Xenopus tropicalis: one gene and its partners. The protein of the gene in region 2 purifies or fractionates together with the protein of the main gene of each other region. This does not show direct contact. Links are inferred from orthologs where the notes say so. Each region holds a gene or a part of one and is shown on either strand. Other genes may lie near its edges. The genes, in order: cttnbp2nl, stk25 and fgfr1op2.

Evidence for each region.
Region 1: the proteins of stk25 (region 2) and cttnbp2nl purify together in Homo sapiens (affinity purification with mass spectrometry; 6 studies listed by BioGRID and IntAct, counting the BioPlex papers as one, with this or other methods). This does not show direct contact. The link is inferred for Xenopus tropicalis from reciprocal best matches to the Homo sapiens genes STK25 and CTTNBP2NL.
Region 3: the proteins of stk25 (region 2) and fgfr1op2 purify together in Homo sapiens (affinity purification with mass spectrometry; 5 studies listed by BioGRID and IntAct, with this or other methods). This does not show direct contact. The link is inferred for Xenopus tropicalis from reciprocal best matches to the Homo sapiens genes STK25 and FGFR1OP2.

Annotation. Positions count from the first base shown.
Region 1 is NC_030678.2:60,505,254-60,511,710, forward strand, and holds the end of cttnbp2nl (CTTNBP2 N-terminal-like protein), read left to right. Parts: intron 1-1,988; coding exon 1,989-3,455; 3' UTR 3,456-4,214; downstream 4,215-6,457. UniProt on the Homo sapiens protein: Regulates lamellipodial actin dynamics in a CTTN-dependent manner. Associates with core striatin-interacting phosphatase and kinase (STRIPAK) complex to form CTTNBP2NL-STRIPAK complexes.
Region 2 is NC_030681.2:125,794,548-125,802,356, forward strand, and holds the start of stk25 (serine/threonine-protein kinase 25), read left to right. Parts: upstream 1-3,895; 5' UTR 3,896-4,122; intron 4,123-6,815; 5' UTR 6,816-6,824; coding exon 6,825-7,046; intron 7,047-7,223; coding exon 7,224-7,280; intron 7,281-7,809. UniProt on the Homo sapiens protein: Oxidant stress-activated serine/threonine kinase that may play a role in the response to environmental stress.
Region 3 is NC_030679.2:2,582,029-2,589,818, forward strand, and holds the start of fgfr1op2 (FGFR1 oncogene partner 2 homolog), read left to right. Parts: upstream 1-2,155; 5' UTR 2,156-2,259; intron 2,260-5,609; 5' UTR 5,610-5,614; coding exon 5,615-5,749; intron 5,750-5,974; coding exon 5,975-6,092; intron 6,093-6,759; coding exon 6,760-6,902; intron 6,903-7,263; coding exon 7,264-7,377; intron 7,378-7,790. UniProt on the Homo sapiens protein: May be involved in wound healing pathway.

The DNA of each region.
Region 1 (6,457 bases), on a different chromosome or scaffold from region 2:
TTAGTCGACAAGGAAATCTATACATAATTTTTTGGGCTTTTTAATGTTTTCTATATTTCTGTGTAATTTCATTTCTCTAACAAGATTTAAGGGTCTAAATACCCTCTTCATGCACTACTTCTATAGTCCTCACTGATTACTAGTCGACAGCAATATAGTCCACCCCCCAACATACCCGATAAAAAGGGGCCCAACAGAATCAGGGTGCACTAGGTTTTTTCCCAGTGCCCTGTTGGGCCATTCCAACCTTGAATTCACAGTGCCCCAATATTCCAGTTTGGGTGCCATTGTGCACGTGCTGTTTGCTAATTACCAAGATTAGTTTAGCTGTGAACCGAAGGTACACAGCTAAACGTGGGGGACAATGCTGCCAATCATCTCTATAGTTTTGCTATGGGGGCACAGATAAGTTGTGGCATATGTCAGTGAAGTGATTAAAGAGGGGACACTGCTGCTAAAACTAAAGATTTGTCAGGGCGGCTTTACTTTTCCTTTAAATAAAAAATGTGTACAATATATTCGCTCAAAATGTTATTATTGACTCATTCAAGTCAATAATGTTATTATTGACTTGATTCATTGAGCTAAAAGTAGGATAATAATGCAAATGTGAGGTAAAAACTTTGTATATGTAACATTGTATAAATTGCACTTTTTGTTTAGTCAGTGTTTTACTTGTTTATAAAAATGTTAATGGGCTTGTTGCACCTATTGCTCTAGGGTTAGACACAAACTTGTCCTCTGACAATAGCCTGGTAACCACCATTAATATGCTGGTGACCCCCCCTCCCCAATGATGCCTCTACCAGAGGTGTGAAATGGAGACTGGGTGAAATAAAGCAAAACAGAAGAGCTTAGAAGTGATCTGAGTTACACAGCGCTTTACTCCATTGTGAAAATGTTGGAAAAAATGTTGTTAAAATGTAATATAAACGTCGTTTAAAAGACAAATTCCCAAAAGTGCCTTTAAACTGTCTTTCTTTCACCTAAAACTAAAAAGAGTCATAATATAGGCGGATTTCTGTTTGTGAATATGGAGAAAGTGTTTTACACCAGTTTTACCATCACTCTTGCTCCAAAAAAAGGCTATATCCATTTTTGTGAATTCCCCCCGATTTATATTAAAAGTTTAGAAATGTTAAAGTACATATGTAACCTAAGCATCATAGGGGTTGGGATTCATATTGATTATCCATGTCAACTATACACACACATTGCTACAGGTTTTGTAAATTTGCATAGAGCTTTGTATAATCAATACAACAGCAAACAGCATCCCAGAGTATCAATTCCACTCCACCCTTCCCTTGTTTCAACTTAAAGTGATGGATTTTGGAACTTAAAAGTCCATGACCTCTGCTTTACATGGTGGCCAGTTCACATATTCTCTAGGAAGCAGAGAGACTTCAAGTCCCAGAATCTACTAAGGAGGTCCCTGCCCATGGATCTTACAAGTTCAACTATTATTATATAACATAATACTACTTTTGTTTAACCCACTTCAGCAGTAAAATAGCTTCCTTTTAAGCAAACATGGAAATGACAAAGGAGCAGTATAAATAATGACTAAAGTACGCATGAACAGCTTGAATAATAACCATTAATGACAGGTCTGCCGAAAGCATGTCAGTTACTTCAGCTGACTTCAGCTGTGTTTTATTGACTATTGTAAATTTAAATAGGTGAAATTAGAAATAGGCAACAACTTCAATGAGATTTAATCAGTTAGGCTTTTTTTGATTCCAACCCTAAAATTAATCATGGTAATTTTAGTAGGTAAATGTGGAAATCAGAATTATCCAACCTAGAGAAAGATTGGATGAATGCAGTGTTTGATGCTGTACGTATATATGCTAATACAATGAAAAAGTATAGTATTCCTAGCCTAATCATATGTAGCCTTAGTTGTTCTTTAGAAAACTGTTATATTCCCACATATATTATATTCATACATTTATACATGTATTTTTATGCCTCTATATTTTCAGCTGGAATTTGAGAAGTCCCAAGTTAAGAAATTAGAAAAAGAACAGAAACGACTTTCCAGTCAGCTGGAGGAAGAGAAAGCCCGCCACAAGCAGCTGTCATCTGTGCTGATGAAAGAGTGTACAAAAGCCAACAACAGGGCAGTGGAAGAAGGACAGAGAGTAGATGATGTTAACCTAAAGCTGGAAAAGGTTAGGAGCAGAGTAAGTCAGCTAGAAGAAGAGCTATCTCTTGAAAAGAAACGAGGCTTGCAGATAGAAGCACAGGTGGAAAAGCAACTTTCAGAGTTTGATATTGAGAGAGAGCAACTGAAAGCCAAGTTAAATAGGGAAGAAAATCGCACAAAAACTTTGAAAGAAGAATTGGAGTCCTTAAAAAAGACATTGAAAGAGCTAAACACCACCCACCAAGTTTCAGTGCCTTCATGCAAGGTAACAAGTGAGCTGGTGTCTATTTGTGTATCAACAGAGAATGCTGACGTAGTATCTGTGTCATGCCAAACCGATCCCTTCCAACATGAAAAAAGTTACACAGATAATTCTGCAAAATCCAATGTCTCATTTACTGCTCCATCTAAGATTCCTCAGCCATATTCCAAAATAAATGGACACTGTAATACATCAGCACACAGCAATGAGCACATTTTAAAATTAAATGTGGGAGACAACCAGAAAGAAAAGTGCAATGTATCAGATAGCCTTTCTGACAGTGGGAACTCTCCAGTCAGAGTAGAGTCTCCTCTGCATATGACAGGATATCTTCCCTCAAGTGGTGCTTCTTCCTCACCCATCAGTACAGCAGCTTCTTCCTTAACTTCTTCTCCATGTTCTTCTCCAGTGCTTTCACGTCGTCTGATTGGAGCAACAGCCAACAGTCCTGGTTATCAATCTTCCTACCAAGTTGGTATCAACCAGCGCTTCCATGCTGCCCGTCACAAGTTCCAGTCTCAGGCTGAGCACGATCAACATGTTACTGGTCTACAGAGCCCCCCTTCTAGGGACCTATCCCCAACCTTGGCAGATAATTCAGCAGCCAAGCAACTTGCACGAAATACTGTGACTCAGGTGTTATCCCGCTTCACTAGCCAACAGACCTCCAGCAAACCTGTACCTCCCAACAGCTCACCTTTTGGTACAGATTATAGAACTCTTGCAAATGCTGCCTCCAACCAAAAAAGTGATGGAAGCCATTCCCCAAACCCTCTAAAAGTTTCTAGCCCTCTCAGTCCTGTATCGCCTGGAATCAAATCACCCACCATATCTCGGGTTGAACGAGGAAACCCCCCACCAATTCCTCCAAAGAAACCAGGGTTAGCTCAGTCTCCAGCTTCTCCCATACCTTCATCCAAATCACCAAACCAAACATCTGCTCTGACATCCTCAGCAGATGGATCAAATACCCACTGCTCCAATAATGGCGTCATTACAAATGGAAATGAAATTGAAATAATGCTTCCATCTGGTAGCTAGTTTTACCCTGTTTGGGGGGTGAGGACATTGTTACATGACTTAATAACACTGTCAGACTAAACTATTCGAGTCTGAATGTGCTATACAATTAAGATGATCAAAAGTATGTTATTTATTTTAATAGTCAACAAACATTTTCTATAGCCCATATTTCCTATTTCCTTCTTTCCTTTGTGGAAGTATTATTCTTTTTAATTAGGAAACAAATTCCTGGGACTTTCTGATAGAATAGGGCATAAAATGCAGTCTTAAAAGTGGACAAGAGTGTCTGAAAAATGTGGTTGCTGATAATTAAGAAAACCAAGTAATGTCTGGCAATTATAAAGTTATCGATACCAGCAGCTTTTGATCATGATTTCCGGATATCTGTGATTAATTGCCTGCAGTAATGTCTGTTAGTTACAATTAAGGAGTAAGGAAACATTGGCTTGGGAATCCATACCAGCTTTGCCAGTAAATTAGTCTTTTATCCTGTTTTGCGATATATACTGAATTATATATATATATATATATATATATATATATGTAGAGAGAGAAAAAATATGTTGTATTAGATGTATTTTAACTTTTAATTAACATCCCTATTACTGAATCCTGCCAGCGTTTTAACACTGTATGTACAGAGACTATAGCAGCAGTGAAGACGTGTGAGACAACTATCCAGTGGTCATGTTGGCTTGGGGCAAACCAAATTTATGTAGTTGTCCGATAAAAAAAAAAACAGCTTGCCAAATGTCTCCTTATGTATATTTTAGCCTTTGACTATTTTTACCTACTATTTCCAGTTGGGCAAGCAGGTTTAAAAAGGGTTGATGTTTCTAACAATACATACTAGCTGTGAACAAAAATGGGCTGATCTTACTTAAAGTTGAGCAGCCTGCTTTAAAATTATTGCCATTTTCAGTCAAACATTTTTCATGCTTCTTTTACTGGTAAGTGAAAGAATATTAACAGTGGCCACTGGGTGCTGCTGTTTACCTACCATATATATATATATATATATATATATATATGTGTGTGTGTGTGTGTGTATACAGTATATATATATATATATATATATATATATTATATATATTTTATTTATATATATATATATATATATATATATATATATATATATATATATATATATATATATATATATATATATATATATATATATATATATAAAATTTCTGAACCACAAAGTGAAGGTTTAACTGCTGAGGGCACAAAGCACAGTAATATCTTCAGAAAGATATTTCAAGAAACCTTTATAATGAGCTAAAATATTATTGGTGGTGTCAGAAGAAGATGTATTAAAAAGACTTTGTAATATAAATAAGTAAAGAGTCAAAAAGCAAACATGGCATAATACAAACAAAATAATTTATTGTAAATGCCTGCAATCCTGGCATTTTGTTTCTTTAACGTACAGGTGATCACTGTATGTAGTAAAGCATATTAAATCTGCAGTAAAATAAGCACACTAATGCACTGAGTTAATAATTAAATATGAATGCTTAATTATTTTTTTAACAATTATATTTACTAAATTGTATGTATGTGCAGTTGCTGTACAATTGGTAGGTCAGCAATTCACTGATTTGTCCTCATAAATTATATACCTAAAGAGATGATTTGCAAAGTGTAAAAAGCAGTAAATCATAGCTACAAAAATATAGTCAGGAAGAATCAGAGAACCACGAGGCTGGACTGAGTAGTCTCTCTTTTGTTCTCTGGAGTACATTTTCCAGTTTTGCTCTACATGTCATACAGGGCAGAATTTTAATTACAACCTAAATTGCAACCTAAACATGCATTTCCTAAAAGTTCTCCAAAAACCATGAAAATGTTATTTGCCTCCAACTGCTGTGATTTCACTTGAATGGGTGTCACTCACCACCCTCAGTTAGTATTCAAAAGTACTCCATGTAAATGGGAAGCATATAGTACTAGTACCAGCATAACAATGCTGTGTGCCATAGCCCTGATACTGGGTCCATCGTAGGTCTTGTTCTTGGTGTGAAGTGAAAAGATGCACTGGAGCCCTGACAATTAGAAACTGCATATTTATTCACCATTTACACCTCTCCAATGAATGTCCTAGTTGGCATACACCCATATATTGGATATGTATAAGAGATGCCAGCATTTTTGCTATGTGTACATGTTCAGGCAGGGCTGACACATCCAAGATTCCTGATATATGCCATCATTATAAAATTTGTAACATATTGGCACTGCCATTCAGCTTGACCACTGTCGTAATCTCTCTAGTGTTATTCTTTCCCAAAAAGTGCCTTTAAATGTGTTAACAATCATGTAAGCAACTCTGAGCTGTGAAACCAGTTGGATATCTACAACCTGGAAGTGCAGATATGTATTAAAAAAAATACCATGGCTGTTTTCTGTTGTAAGCATTATTTTAAAGGCAAGGGGCTCAAGATTCAACATTTAAATTTTAGCAGTATTTATTAAAGCAAATGTGGCTTCTTTATAAAAAGGTGTGATGTGGAATTGTTTCATTGGTTTTTATCTTAAATTACTAAGGTGATTCTAAAGGCCTTATTCAGTGTATTTGGATGAAAGATTACGCCTTCAAATTATTTAAGAATCTAGCGGATCACATAATGGAGGTCTGTTGCAACATCAGTTGCATGTAGAAACAACAATCCCAGCCCATGTATATGACCATTACTTATGTAAAACATCTGACCAAATAATCATGTGACAGCTATCTGGATACAGTTTTCAGGCCAGCTTGTAACGGACAAATATGTTACTGATTCCTACTGGGACATTGAAAGAGAAAATAGAACTGTGCATTCCGTTTGATTAATACAGCCTGATGTCTATAGTTTAAACTCTTACGTTTTCTTTTATTTGCAATGGTAAAATGATTGCAGCTTTGTTTTTGTAGAGGATTGATGCATTCTGAAATTATGAATTATAAATTAAAAATAGAGCTGTACTGGTAAAACACCCTGTAAAGGTCTCTTGATAAATGTTTTTTTGTTCAG
Region 2 (7,809 bases):
TCTCTTTCCAGCTATGACTTAACAGCACATTAAATACTTAGTGCTAAAAGCAATTTATTTTGGCTACATCTTGGCTCTATTTAAATGTTGCAATTATATTCCTTTTAGTAATGTATCATCCCGTGGAAGTTGATCTGTGATATGTAAAGATTGGACAGGGCTTTGGATTGCTTGAAAAAATTGTACTTAAAACAGGGGAATGTCTATGTCAGATAGACATACCTTATGTTATGGTATGTACCTGTACAGACTATCTGAAAACCTAGACAGTTTGGAGATCTCTACTATTAATAGTGCCATGTAAGGCCTGTTAGGTCAGTTACACATTTTTGGATGGCAACTCCAATAAAACTAATGATATCATGTTATCCTGCTATTGGGCAGAACCATGGCACAGTAAGTTTGTATTGCTTCTTTACAATGGGCCCCCTCAACCCACACCAGCTCCTTGCCTGAAACCCAGGGTGAAATTCAAGAATGAGGTGGGCAGGGTTAGACTGGGGGGTGCAGGGCCCACTGGGACTACCGCCCCGTGGACCCCGCACCCCTGCCGGCCAAGTCACATGCACTCCCTCACAGGGGCCTCCACCGTCGTCCTCCCTAACCCCCTGCAGGGGCCCCCGCCACCTGTCTGTTGCCCCCGCCACCTTCCTGGCGGCCCATCCGACCCTGGAGGCAGAGGACCCATGGGGGTGCAGGGGCCCCTGAGGTGGCAGCCCTGGTGGCCAGGGACCTTCCAGTCCAATGCTGCCCTATGCTAAACTCTTTAGTTGACTAAACAGTACTGTTTGCAACTAATTCTGAAATGAATAGACACAGGCAAGTAGCCAGAACTTTTACCAACTAACTTAAAGGAACAGTAACACCAAAATATGAAAGTGTTTTAAAGTAATTGAACTATAATGTACTGTGGTCCTGCACTGGTAAAACTGGGGTGATTGCTTCAGGAACACTACTATAGTTTATATAAATAAGCTGCTGTGTAGCCATGGGGGCAGCCATTCAAGGAAAAAAGGAGAAAAGGCACAGGTTACATAGCAGATAACAGATAAGACACCATTGTATTCTATAGGGTTTATCTGTTAGCTGCTATATAACCTGTGCCTTTTCTTCTTTTTAATGGCTGCCCCCATGGTTACACAGCAGGGTTTATATAAACTTTACTAATGTTTATGAAGCAAACACAAAACAAAACTTTTACCAGTGCAGGGCAGCAGTACATTATAGTTTAATTTCTTTGAAATATATAAATTTTTTGGTGTTACTGTTCCTTTAGGGCTCTGGTACACGGGGAGATTAGACGCCCGCGGCAAAACTCCCTGCTCGCGGGCGACTAATCTCCCCGAGTTGCCTTCCCCCTGCCATCCCACCGGCGAACATGTAAGTCGCCGGCGGGATGGCAGACGCGGCGGCGCGATTCTGCGCAAATCGCCGAAAAAGACTCGTGAGGCTTTTTCTGCGATTTCCCGAAATCGCCCCGCCGCGTCTGCCATCCCGCCGGCGACTTACATGTTCGCCGGTGGGATGGCAGGGGGAAGGCAACTCGGGGAGATTAGTCGCCCGCGAGCAGGGAGTTTTGCCGCGGGCGACTAATCTCCCCGTGTACCAGAGCCCTTAAGCAAACTAATATCCTGTTTGAGAAACAGCCTCATTTAGGGTCAAGTTTAAGTACTTACATATTATTTTAGAGGCTTATATTATAGGGTATATCATGCTATTTGTGTTATTGCAGAAGCTGTCCATCCAGAGGATGATTTCTTAGGGCTCAAAGGATATTGATTTCTAAATTGATGTTTAGCTAATGCCACATAGGGGCTTATTCTCAGTGTGCGGATAAACACACCATTTCAGCCTGTGATAAACCAACTTAACCAATCACTGATGGCGTTGGTGGGAACTGTCTTTTGTATTATATATAATATATATTATTTGGTCAGTATGCACTAATGGCAAAAATTGGCATTTAAATTAGCATTAACTATTCTATCCTGAGTGTCATAAACAGAGTAAAGTTGTAAAACTCTTAAAGGGGACCTGTCAGCCACACATAAAAATAATAATTAAAAAACATGAAAACCAAAATTATTTTTTTAATTAAATCATCCATATCTGTTATAAATGAATTTAAAAATCTGAGCTGTCAATCCTATATTGCCTATGCCTAAGGCATAGCGGCCGGTCAGGCACTATAGGATTGACAGCTCAGATTTTTAATTACAGTTTCTTTCCATTTAGCACAGGCAGCATTGAAGCATTTGTAAGAAGGTGGAAAAATGATGCATTTGAGTGCATTTGAATGGAACATATGTTTGGTTAATAAGTGTGATAGTGTGTTAAATGGTAATACAAAAATGTTATGTGTTAAGTTGGCCACCAGGTGGCAGCAGAGTAATATAGGTTTAATAAAAAATAGGGTAAGTGTACTTCATACCACCAGCCACCAGGGGTCAGTCTAGGCAGAAAAGTATAAAGTATAAAAAAGGGGTTGTCACCTGGGTCCAGTTGTCTTGACTGGAGGGCGTGGCAGAGATAACATCATCTGTAGGAGGGTAAGTCAGACCTGGCACCAGTAGGGGAGGTTTAGCTTAAAGTAAGAGTGAGCACTAGGTGAACCAGACAGACAGGTAAGTGAGCATGGGCAGCCCAATGCCCCAACATCATGGGGTGGGGAAGAGGCAGGCCTTGGGGTCTGCGATTGGCCAGTTGCCTCGTCAATGTTACTGGGCCCTGCCTGGTTTTCCTAATTTGAGAAACCAAGCGGTAGGTTCAAACAGGTGGCAACCCTACTGGTGGGACAGTCGGACACTGTATGATTGTGTGCATGAATCCTCTGGTGTCCCGAATGAAAAATAAATGTGTCACTTTAGTTTAGACATAGTGATATTCAATCAAATAACTGCCTGTCTCTCCTACACATTGGTTTAATAGAATCATTAAATGTATAAAATGTAATTACAGTGCTACTGTGCTGTTCTCTATATACATGCATGCCTCTGATAAAGGCGCTGGCCCCACCAGTAGGAGAAGTCTGGGAAAGTAGGCGTGGCCAAAAAATTCACTCCCTCTCACTTAAATGTTGAACAGTAGGCAATGAAATGGAATGATAGTTATGGCCTCATTTTATTTTAGTGGCACATGAGGTGACATCCCCCCCACAGTGTTTTCCAGCCATGCAATGTCCAGCTCAATGTCCAGATGTGCACAATAATGTTCTCCATTGCCACTTCAGTGACTTGAATGGTTAAACACCTGGATCCAGCAGGTGCACTTGTGGCTCAGGAGAAACATTCACTGCCACAGTTAATAGAAATAATTGCATGGCCATTGAGCACATTTTAGGCTTTTTCAATTGCAGGGGTTCAGAATGAATTCAGGTGCTGGTTACAGGGGTTAGATGATTGGGCTGTTACTGACAGTGACTGACAGGGCTGCTCTTAGTGACAAGCTTGGCACAGGCGGCAGTGAGTGGCCAATTACCAGCGATGGCAAAAACAATCTCTGTTTTTAAATAGTGCAATAGCACAGTCTCTGTACTAGCACTTCTGCCCCATATTGACCGGCTCTAAAGTAAAAAAAAAACAAGCCCAGAGTGGGTAAGGGGGGGGGGGGGCAACAGCCCCCAAAAAGCACCTGGTGACTGGCCAGGGCAAAGGAGGGTGATGAAAAAATGACATGTTTGTGGATCTGTGTCACAGATATGCCTTTATATAATAGTGCCCAGTCAAAGAAGTCACCGCAACTGTATCACAATTCTCCTCAGAGATTGTTAATAAAGCTGTCTTGTAATAGGCAGAACGACCACTTGTGCAAAATATAGTGCTGTCCCTTTAAATCCGAGAGCGACAGCTGCTGGTCACATGTTCTGTACTTCCCGTTCCTATGCTGTGTATGTAGAGCAGCAGGGCTCCATCTTGCAGGCTGCTGTTTGAAGTTGCTGTATTAACACTTAGTCAATGCTTTTTCTTTACAGTATTGTTTGTGTGTGCGCCGGTGCCCTGCCTCCTCCTCACCCACATGCTCCAGGGAGTCTCCTGTGTCAGTAAGCAGTGCTAACGAGGGACAAGACATGGTGTCAGCAGCTGCAGTGCTAGCAGGGATCTACAAGCAAAGTACCACAGAACTGTAAGTAGTTCAGAAGGAACACACTCTGTGTGAGCAGTTTAACCCTTCCAATCCCTTACCATTCCCTGTCAGCCTTAGTGGAAACTGCTGCTATATCTGACTGGCACTTGGAAATATCCACAGGAAATAGCAAGTTTGTTGCATACTATGGGGGACTACACTAAGGGCTATATAATAGTAACAATATGGTAAATAAGCAGGGCTGTATCTGTAGTACAGGTTTTGGAAGTCTTCTCCCAGGGCTGGAAATAGGGGTAATGATACCCCTAGTGCAGGACCTTGTTACCCTACTGTTTACCTAGCCCCCCCACAGGCAATGCATACTCATACTCTTTGGCAATTGGTGCATGCTGATAACCCAGAAATGTGCCCCCCCCCCCCCCCCCCCACCAGCTGCTCCTCTAGATTTGACCACAATCTAGGTGACTGGCATGGGTTGCCTTCGAGGGCCTATATAAATATGGCCATCCAGAATTACCCACAATGTTTGAACTACTAGCACAAAATGTGGGCAGCATGGTGGTGCAGTGGACATAGAATTGCTGCCTGTTCTCCCTGTGTTTGCATGGGTTTCCTCCTGGTACCCCAGTTTCCCACAACTCAAAAACATACAGGTAGGTTAACTGTGTTCTGATAAAGCTGACTGTAGTGTGTGTGAATGGCATGTGTCTGTAGATTTGCAGCTCCATAAGAAGCGCCTAAAACATTTGTTGTTATCCTTTTAAAAAACACCTCAACCTACAGAGGTAACTCCAGTCATGTATAGAAATAATCTTATCCTGCATTAATCTGTCCCGTGTGGCAGGAGCCTATTACGCAAAGACCAAATAAAAGTGAAGAAAAGGTTTGAATGGTTACAAATAATAATAACCCCCTGCAGCAGTTTCCTTATATTCTACCTCTGTACTTCAAATTGTACATCTCTGTAATCCCATACCACATGTTACTTTTCTAACAACATTTTACACATCCTTCAAATCACTTCCCCCACAATTATTTTAATTATGAACCCCTGTTTATTTGGAGGTTCGTAATTAAAATATTTTGGGCATCATTTTCGATCAGATGCATTACTACTAGTTTCTTGGCATAGCACAAGACTGCTCTGATGAGAGAACGAGTTCTGTTCAGGGGCAATACATCTGCAACCAGCCCTAACAGGCAGATCTCAGGTGAGTGTAAACATGGGAATGCCATATTCTCAACTCAAGTACCAGATCACCTCCCCTCAAAAACTCTGTTTCGAGGGACAGTTTTACAACAAGTGTAGAAAGGATGCCTCTGGCTGCTGGCATCTCGGAAGCTTGGTCTCAGAGAAATTAATGAAAACATAACCAAAACTAGGGAAGGCTGTACCTATGAGTACTTGATAAAGCCTTGATGTCAGTTTCTTATTCTCCAGGTTGTGTAGGGGGTCAGTTTTACTGGGGGGAAGGTGGGGGTTAACATACTGTGCCCTGAATGCATGGTAAATTTGGAGATACCTACAGAAATGCAAATCTGGCTTCTTGCACTTTGTTTTGAGCTGCAGTAATGTGGGGTATGTGGGGAATTTTTAGAACATCCCTAAGAAACCTAAGGCCCAAGAGCAGCCAGTAGGAGCAGTCCTGAAGGGCTCTAGGGTGGGGTAGGTTACAGTTCATTCAAAGTGGTAGAAAGGGGGAGGGTACAAGAGGTGTGCGTCCAGTAAGTGTACATGCTAACCTCAAAGGGGCAGAGACTGTTGAGGGACAGTCATTGTAGTTGGCTATCCTTCTATATGGCAAACTTTTTACTGCCTCGGGAACCCAAATTTAATCCCAGGAGCAAGAGGCTGGGGTCCACCTCATCTATATGGAACCAACCATGTATATGATGAATTTGGCTGGCTAGGAAATAGTAGCCTAAATAAGGGAGAGCAAGGCCTCCTTTGTCAGTTGGAGACATAAGAGAGGTCCAGGCCATGTGTGGGAACTTATTAGCCCATAGAAATGGGAGCACAGTAGAATTGACATACCTGAATAGCTTCTCAGGGATCCATATGGGGGAATTTTGTCGTTTTTATAACAATATAGGTAAGTAAATCATCTTATATAAGTTGATTCTAAACTGCAAAGAAAAAGGCAGCTTAGACAAGGTAGTTGACAACCTGACCAATATCGTCTTCAGTAAATTAGAGTGTATTGGAGCATATGATGCCAAGGTATTTTTTATTACATTAAGTGGGGATCAAATAGGAAAAGTAGTAAATCATCAGCACAGAGGGCTGGGGGCACCCTTGGAAGTTACCCTTGCCCCCTTGGGATTGTCTATTAAGTTTTATTTCTTATAACCATAGTTAGGCCAATGTTTATCTATACACAGGGTCAGGGGGTCATCCTTTGAATTTACCCTTGCCCCCTTGGGATTGTCTATTAAGTTTTATTTCTTATAACCATAGTTAGGCCAGTGTTCATCTATCCACAGTCTCCATATTTTATCTAAGTTCTCAATAAAGCCTCTCTTTATAAAGGTCATAAAGGGATGGTATCCAATATGCACAATAGAAGGGGATGTGGTAGATTTCTGCTCTATATATCCCAAAGCTTTAGTGTGCTTGTGGTTCATCTAGTATAAATTGCTAATCAGGCTGTCCCATGGGTTGGCATCCTTAGGACCTTTCAGTAGATTATCCATTAGTTGTTATCCTTATTGTAAACTCTCTGCATTTCCAGAGCTCTAGGATGGATCCTGAGCGTCTTTTCACCAAGCTGGAGCGCATTGGGAAGGGCTCCTTTGGAGAGGTGTATAAGGGCATAGAGAATCGCAGTAAAGAAGTTGTAGCCATCAAAATTATTGACCTGGAAGAGGCAGAGGATGAAATTGAGGACATACAACAGGAAATTACAGTGCTGAGCCAGTGTGACAGTCCTTATATCACTCGCTATTATGGTTCCTACCTGAAGGTAACTGCATTTGCTTTTAAATAAAGGTTGTGATTTATAGATCTCTATATGGTGATAAACACTTTTAAACACAATACATGTGCATGTCTGCAGTTATTATCTTCTTAGCGTTACCTGTTTTGCAATATCAGCTCTAGAATGTCTGCCCGCATCTGACAGATTCTCCTCTATCCTCAGGGATCAAAGCTATGGATAATAATGGAGTATTTGGGAGGAGGCTCTGCTCTGGACCTGGTAAGGAAATATGTCTTAACTGTCTTTTGCATTATCCAGGTTCCATCCAGCAACTTGTCAGTTGGTCTTCATATTTTCTTTTTTATAGTTTTTTTTTTAATTATTTGCTGCCTTCTACTGCCTATTTTCAGCTTTCAAATGGGGGTCACTGACCCCAGCAGCAAAAAAACTATTGCTCTGTGAGGCTACAGTTGCATTGTTTTGATTTTTTTTTTTTTCACTAAAAAGCTAAATAATTAAATAACCACATATAATAAAAAAAGAATGGACAGTTGCAAATTGTATCAGAATAGGAGAAGGAAAGGTAAAAACTAAGTAAGCTTTATCAGAAAGGTCTATGTAAATACAACCATAAGCACTCACAGATATGTTATGATATATATCAAAAGAAACACAGGATTTCTTGTCTTCCTTTGTGTAACTAGGCCTGTTAAATACTAGACACTTGGCAACTCTAAATTCACATTCACACTTCTGCTGTGGGCTGATGTGTGCAGCATTTTTGATGTAGATACTCACTCTGCTAATT
Region 3 (7,790 bases), on a different chromosome or scaffold from region 2:
CCCTATCACATTCCCATCAGTCCCTGCCCCAGTGAGCTTACAATCTAAGGTCCCTATCCCATTCCCATCAGTCCCTGCCCCAGTGAGCTTACAATCTAAGGTCCCTATCCCATTCCCATCAGTCCCTGCCCCAGTGAGCTTACAATCTAAGGTCCTTATCCCATTCCCATCAGTCCCTGCCCCAGTGAGCTTACAATCTAAGGTCCCTATCCCATTCCCATCAGTCCCTGCCCCAGTGAGCTTACAATCTAAGGTCCCTATCCCATTCCCATCAGTCCCTGCCCCAGTGAGCTTACAATCTAAGGTCCCTATCCCATTCCCATCAGCCCCTGCCCCAGTGAGCTTACAATCTAAGGTCCCTATCCATTCCCATCAGCCCCTGCCCCAGTGAGCTTACAATCTAAGGTCCCTATCACATTCCCATCAGCCCCTGCCCCAGTGAGCTTACAATCTAAGGTCCCTATCCCATTCCCATCAGTCCCTGCCCCAGTGAGCTTACAATCTAAGGTCCCTATCACATTCCCATCAGTCCCTGCCCCAGTGAGCTTACAATCTAAGGTCCCTATCCCATTCCCATCAGCCCCTGCCCCAGTGAGCTTACAATCTAAGGTCCCTATCCCATTCCCATCAGTCCCTGCCCCAGTGAGCTTACAATCCAAGGGCCCTATCCCATTCCCATCAGCCCCTGCCCCAGTGAGCTTACAATCTAAGGGCCCTATCCCATTCCCATCAGCCCCTGCCCCAGTGAGCTTACAATCTAAGGTCCCTATCCCATTCCCATCAGCCCCTGCCCCAGTGAGCTTACAATCTAAGGTCCCTATCCCATTCCCATCAGTCCCTGCCCCAGTGAGCTTACAATCTAAGGTCCCTATCACATTCCCATCAGTCCCTGCCCCAGTGAGCTTACAATCTAAGGTCCCTATCCCATTCCCATCAGCCCCTTGCCCCAGTGAGCTTACAATCTAAGGTCCCTATCCCATTCCCATCAGCCCCTGCCCCAGTGAGCTTACAATCTAAGGCCCCTATACCATTCCCATCAGTCCCTGCCCCAGTGAGCTTACAATCTAAGGCCCCATACCATTCCCATCAGCCCCTGCCCCAGTGAGCTTACAATCTAAGGTCCCTATCCCATTCCCATCAGCCCCTGCCCCAGTGAGCTTACAATCTAAGGCCCCTATACCATTCCCATCAGCCCCTGCCCCAGTGAGCTTACAATCTAAGGTCCCTATCCCATTCCCATCAGTCCCTGCCCCAGTGAGCTTACAATCTAAGGTCCCTATCCCATTCCCATCAGTCCCTGCCCCAGTGAGCTTACAATCTAAGGTCCCTATCCCATTCCCATCAGTCCCTGCCCCAGTGAGCTTACAATCTAAGGTCCCCATCACATTCCCCTCAGTCCCAGTGAGCTTACAATTCAATGTAACCAGTTGTACCTATGGAGTGCAGTATATATTTCATATCCATGGTACTTACCCTTTGCCCCCTGGGCTGGGGTGATGCAGGGATGGGGGGAACACAATGGCCGTTACAGACGAGATGCAGGGAGTCTGGATGCACCTGGGGTGTCTCCTTTTCTCACCATTCTGACCTTACAGGGAGAGAGAAGACATGTTGGTGCCGGGGCTACACAAGCAGTAGGGCAGCTCCCACCTCTCATACTATTCAGACTCATGAACTGTAGAACCCCCCCCCCCCCCCACCTTCCATTTCCCTCAAATTCTCTTCCCAGTTCTACTCCCCAAATCCTGCCCCCCCTGCACTCCCGTCCCACAAGTCCTAGGGTGCCCCTGGGTACCCCTGTGTCCTTCCCTACTCACCTCCCGTCACAGGCCTGAGCAGCTCATCGCTACCCCATTAATCGTACGTTTTGCCCTTTCATGCTGTTTGGTCCCTGCCGCTTTCTGTTTTTAGTAGATCTTATCCAGGGGGGCGGGCACTAATCGCCTGGAGATACAGTGATTGGCTAATTTAATAGATGAGCAGGAAGATACTGTGAGCGAATATCCGCTACAAGAGGGCTTTGCGCTGTAGGGAGCCGGACCTCTAGCAGCGAAACGTCTGTGAAATACAGTTTTCCAGTCGGAATTATATTCAGGGCGGCCCTTTGCACCGGAAGTGACGTCCTTGACAGGTTCTCAGAAGGCATGCGCGTAGCGTCACCTGCGGTTTCAGCTGAGTTTGGCTTCACTGACGGGACCAGGGCGGAAACGGAAGGGCTGGGAGCTCTGGGACCGAATCTGCCGCTTGTGGGGTGACAGGGTAAGTACGGGCAATGGCTGGCACCCTCACTCACTGGCACCCTCACTCACTGGCACCCTCACTCACTCACTCACTCACCGGCACCCTCACTCCTACATACACTCACTGACTGACTGGCACCCTCACTCCTACATACACTCACTCACTGACTGGCACCCTCACTCTTACATACACTCACTCACTGACTGGCACCCTCCCTCTTACATACACTCACTGACTGACTGGCACCCTCACTCCTACACTCACTCACTGACTGACTGGCACCCTCCCTCTTACATACACTCACTCACTGACTGGCACCCTCACTCCTACATACACTCACTCACTGACTGGCACCCTCCCTCTTACATACACTCACTCACTGACTGGCACCCTCACTCCTACATACACTCACTCACTGACTGGCACCCTCCCTCTTACATACACTCACTCACTGACTGGCACCCTCACTCCTACATACACTCACTCACTGACTGGCACCCTCACTCCTACATACACTCACTGACTGACTGGCACCCTCACTCCTACATACACTCACTCACTGACTGGCACCCTCCCTCTTACATACACTCACTCACTGACTGGCACCCTCCCTCTTACATACACTCACTCACTGACTGGCACCCTCACTCCTACATACACTCACTCACTGACTGGCACCCTCCCTCTTACATACACTCACTGACTGACTGGCACCCTCACTCCTACATACACTCACTGACTGACTGGCACCCTCCCTCTTACATACACTCACTGACTGACTGGCACCCTCACTCCTACATACACTCACTGACTGACTGGCACCCTCACTCACTGACTGGCACCCTCCCTCTTACATACACTCACTCACTGACTGGCACCCTCCCTCTTACATACACTCACTGACTGACTGGCACCCTCACTCCTACATACACTCACTCACTGACTGGCACCCTCACTCCTACATACACTCACTGACTGACTGGCACCCTCACTCCTACATACACTCACTCACTGACTGGCACCCTCACTCCTACATACACTCACTGACTGACTGGCACCCTCACTCCTACATACACTCACTGACTGACTGGCACCCTCACTCCTACATACACTCACTGACTGACTGGCACCCTCACTCCTACATACACTCACTGACTGACTGGCACCCTCACTCCTACATACACTCACTCACTGACTGGCACCCTCACTCCTACATACACTCACTCACTGACTGGTACCCTCACTCCTACATACACTCACTCACTGACTGGCACCCTCACTCCTACATACACTCACTCACTGACTGGCACCCTCACTCCTACATACACTCACTCACTGACTGGCACCCTCACTCCTACATACACTCACTCACTGACTGGCACCCTCACTCCTACATACACTCACTGACTGACTGGCACCCTCACTCCTACATACACTCACTGACTGACTGGCACCCTCACTCCTACATACACTCACTCACTGACTGGCACCCTCACTCCTACATACACTCACTGACTGACTGGCACCCTCACTCCTACATACACTCACTGACTGACTGGCACCCTCACTCCTACATACACTCACTGACTGACTGGCACCCTCACTCACTCACTGGGCACCCTCACTCTTACATACACTCACTCACTGACTGGCACCCTCCCTCTTACATACACTCACTCACTGACTGGCACCCTCACTCTTACATACACTCACTCACTGACTGGCACCCTCACTCCTACATACACTCACTGACTGACTGGCACCCTCCCTCTTACATACACTCACTGACTGACTGGCACCCTCACTCCTACATACACTCACTCACTGACTGACTGGCACCCTCACTCCTACATACACTCACTGACTGACTGGCACCCTCACTCCTACATACACTCACTGACTGACTGGCACCCTCACTCCTACATACACTCACTGACTGACTGGCACCCTCACTCACTCACTGGCACCCTCACTCTTACATACACTCACTCACTGACTGGCACCCTCCCTCTTACATACACTCACTGACTGACTGGCACCCTCACTCTTACATACACTCACTCACTGACTGGCACCCTCACTCCTACATACACTCACTGACTGACTGGCACCCTCCCTCTTACATACACTCACTGACTGACTGGCACCCTCACTCCTACATACACTCACTGACTGACTGGCACCCTCCCTCTTACATACACTCACTCACTGACTGGCACCCTCACTCCTACATACACTCACTGACTGACTGGCACCCTCACTCACTCACTGGCACCCTCACTCTTACATACACTCACTCACTGACTGGCACCCTCCCTCTTACATACACTCACTCACTGACTGGCACCCTCACTCTTACATACACTCACTGACTGACTGGCACCCTCACTCCTACATACACTCACTGACTGACTGGCACCCTCACTCTTACATACACTCACTGACTGACTGGCACCCTCCCTCTTACATACACTCACTGACTGACTGGCACCCTCCCTCTTACATACACTCACTCACTGACTGGCACCCTCACTCCTACATACACTCACTCACTGACTGGCACCCTCCCTCTTACATACGCTCACTCACTGACTGGCACCCTCACTCCTACATACACTCACTGACTGACTGGCACCCTCACTCCTACATACACTCACTGACTGACTGGCACCCTCACTCTTACATACACTCACTCACTGACTGGCACCCTCACTCTTACATACACTCACTGACTGACTGGCACCCTCACTCTTACAAACACTCACTGACTGACTGGCACCCTCACTCCTACACTCACTGACTGACTGGCACCCTCACTCCTACATACACTCACTCACTGACTGGCACCCTCACTCCTACACTCACTCACTGACTGGCACCCTCACTCCTACACTCACTGACTGACTGGCACCCTCACTCCTACACTCACTGACTGACTGGCACCCTCACTCCTACACTCACTGACTGACTGGCACCCTCACTCCTACACTCACTGACTGACTGGCACCCTCACTCCTACACTCACTGACTGACCGGCACCCTCACTCCTACATACACTCACTGACTGGCACCCTCACTCCTACATACACTCACTCACTGACTGGCACCCTCACTCCTACATACACTCACTCACTGACTGGCACCCTCACTCCTACATACACTCACTGACTGACTGGCACCCTCACTCCTACACTCACTGACTGACTGGCACCCTCACTCCTACACTCACTGACTGACTGGTACCCTCACTCCTACACTCACTGACTGACTGGCACCCTCACTCCTACACTCACTGACTGACTGGCGCCCTCACTCCTACACTCACTGACTGACTGGCACCCTCACTCACACACTCCTGTTCTTCCCAGGAACCATGAGCTGTACCATAGAGAAGGTTCTGGCCGACGCTAAAGCCTTAGTGGAGCGACTGCGGGAACACGATGGGGCGGCAGAAGTGCTTATTGAGCAGACGACTACGCTGAATAAACGAGTGGAAGCCATGAAACAGGTAATGCCCAACCCACAGCCTTTATCTACTGGTGCCCAGCGGGCCCCTTGCTTTTAAATCTGCAGCCCTCCAGCTTGTGTAGACTACAACTCCCTGCATCCCCGTGGCTGTTGGGGAGTTGTCCCCGCTTAAAGCTGGAGGCTCAGGACAGAGGAAGGTGCTGAAATGTCAGCCTGCAATTGAGTATGAGTGTGAGTGTGACACGACCTGTTGCTGCATTTACAGTACCAAGAGGAGGTCCAGGAGCTGAATGAGATCGCGCGGCACCGCCCACGTTCTACTCTGGTCCTTGGCATCCAGCAAGAGAACCGGCAAATTCGCCAACTTCAGCAGGAAAACAAAGGTTGGATTCGCCAGCTTATCTGCCCATGTATGGGCTCCCCTGCCAGGCCTGCCTGGCCAATGTCTGGCCTAAAATTGGGCAGATCCTGATAGGGCAGGTTTGATTTTCCTGTCCAATGGCGCCTATGGGCTCGATGTATTTATATAGTGCATTATATATTGAATTAGCATGATATGTGGCATATAGGGAGAAGATTCACCTTTTAAGTTAACTTTTAGTATGATGTAGAGAGTTTGCAATTGGTCTTAATTTTTTATTATTTGTAGTTTTATAGTTATTTCCTTTTCAGTTTAGGAGCTCTGCAGTTTGGAATTTCAGCAGCTATTTGGTTGCTAGGGTCCGAGTTACCTTAGCAACCAGGGAGTAGTTTGGATGGGAGACAGGTATATGAATAGGGGAGGGGCTGAATAGAAAGATAAGGAATAAAAAGTAACAATAACAATAAATCTGGAGCCTCACAGAGCAATAGGGTTTGGCTCCCGGGGTCAGTGACCCCCTTTTGAAAGCTGCAAAGAGTCAGAAGAAGAAGGCAAATCATTCAAAAACTATAAGAAATAAATAATGAAGACCAATTGAAAAGTTGCTTAGAGTAGGTCATTCTATAACATACTTAAAGGTGAGGGGGCTAGTGCAGAGATGTAACAAAGCTGATCCCTGTGTCTCACAGAGTTACGCACCTCCCTAAAGGAGCACCAGTCGGCCCTGGAACTCATCATGAGTAAGTACCGGGAGCAGATGTTCCGCCTGCTGATGGCCAGCAAAAAGGACGACCCCGGCATTATTATGAAGCTGAAAGAGCAACATTCCAAGGTACATTCTCTCCCTGAGGTAGGTGGGAAAGGGTTAAACTTAGGGCAAACCCCACTGACCCCCAATAAACTGACTTATTAGCACATTAATCAGTGCAACTATGTATATGAACTATTTATATTGTGTGCACAAGGGGCGTGGCCAAAACAAGGGGCGTGGCTAAAATATTGGTACTACACGCTTGTGTTCATGGTGGGGGGCATTTAAATGAACTTGTGCGGGGCCCCAAGGTTTCTGATGCCGTAAGTGCAGGTAACTACCAAAGCTTTGTAATTCAGGGGGGGCCAACCCCCAATTTAAAGTGCAGAATTATCAAATGGGAAAATTAACGACCGTCCCCCTGATTGTCCCCCCCGTGTAGGAGCTTCAGGCCCACATAGAGAAAATCACCGAAATGACTGCGGTAATGAAACGGGCCATTGAAATCGACGAGCAGCAGGGTAACCAAGAGCACGACCGCATCGTTAAACTGGAGGTAGGTACCTGCCGGCTGTGAGACTGCTCAGTCAGTAGAAGGCTCGGCAAAGAGACAACGCCATTGGTTACAGAGCCAGGGGGTTGGGCTTAATGCACCACTAACACCGAATCCTTTGCAAAAGATTTGGCCGAATACTGCACTGAATCCTAATCCTAACTTGCATAAGCAAGGGTTAAAGGGGCGGTAGCTTTTAGTACGTTATAGAATGGCCAATTCCAAGCAACTTTTCAATTGGTCTTCATTATTTATTTCTTATAGTTTGTACATTATTTGCCTTCCTCTTCTCTTTGCAGCTTTCAAATGGGGGTCACTGACCCCGGCAGCCAAACCCTATTGCTCTGTGAGGCTCCAGTTTTATTGTTATTGTTACTTTTTATTCCTTATCTTTCTATTCAGCCCCTCCCCTATTC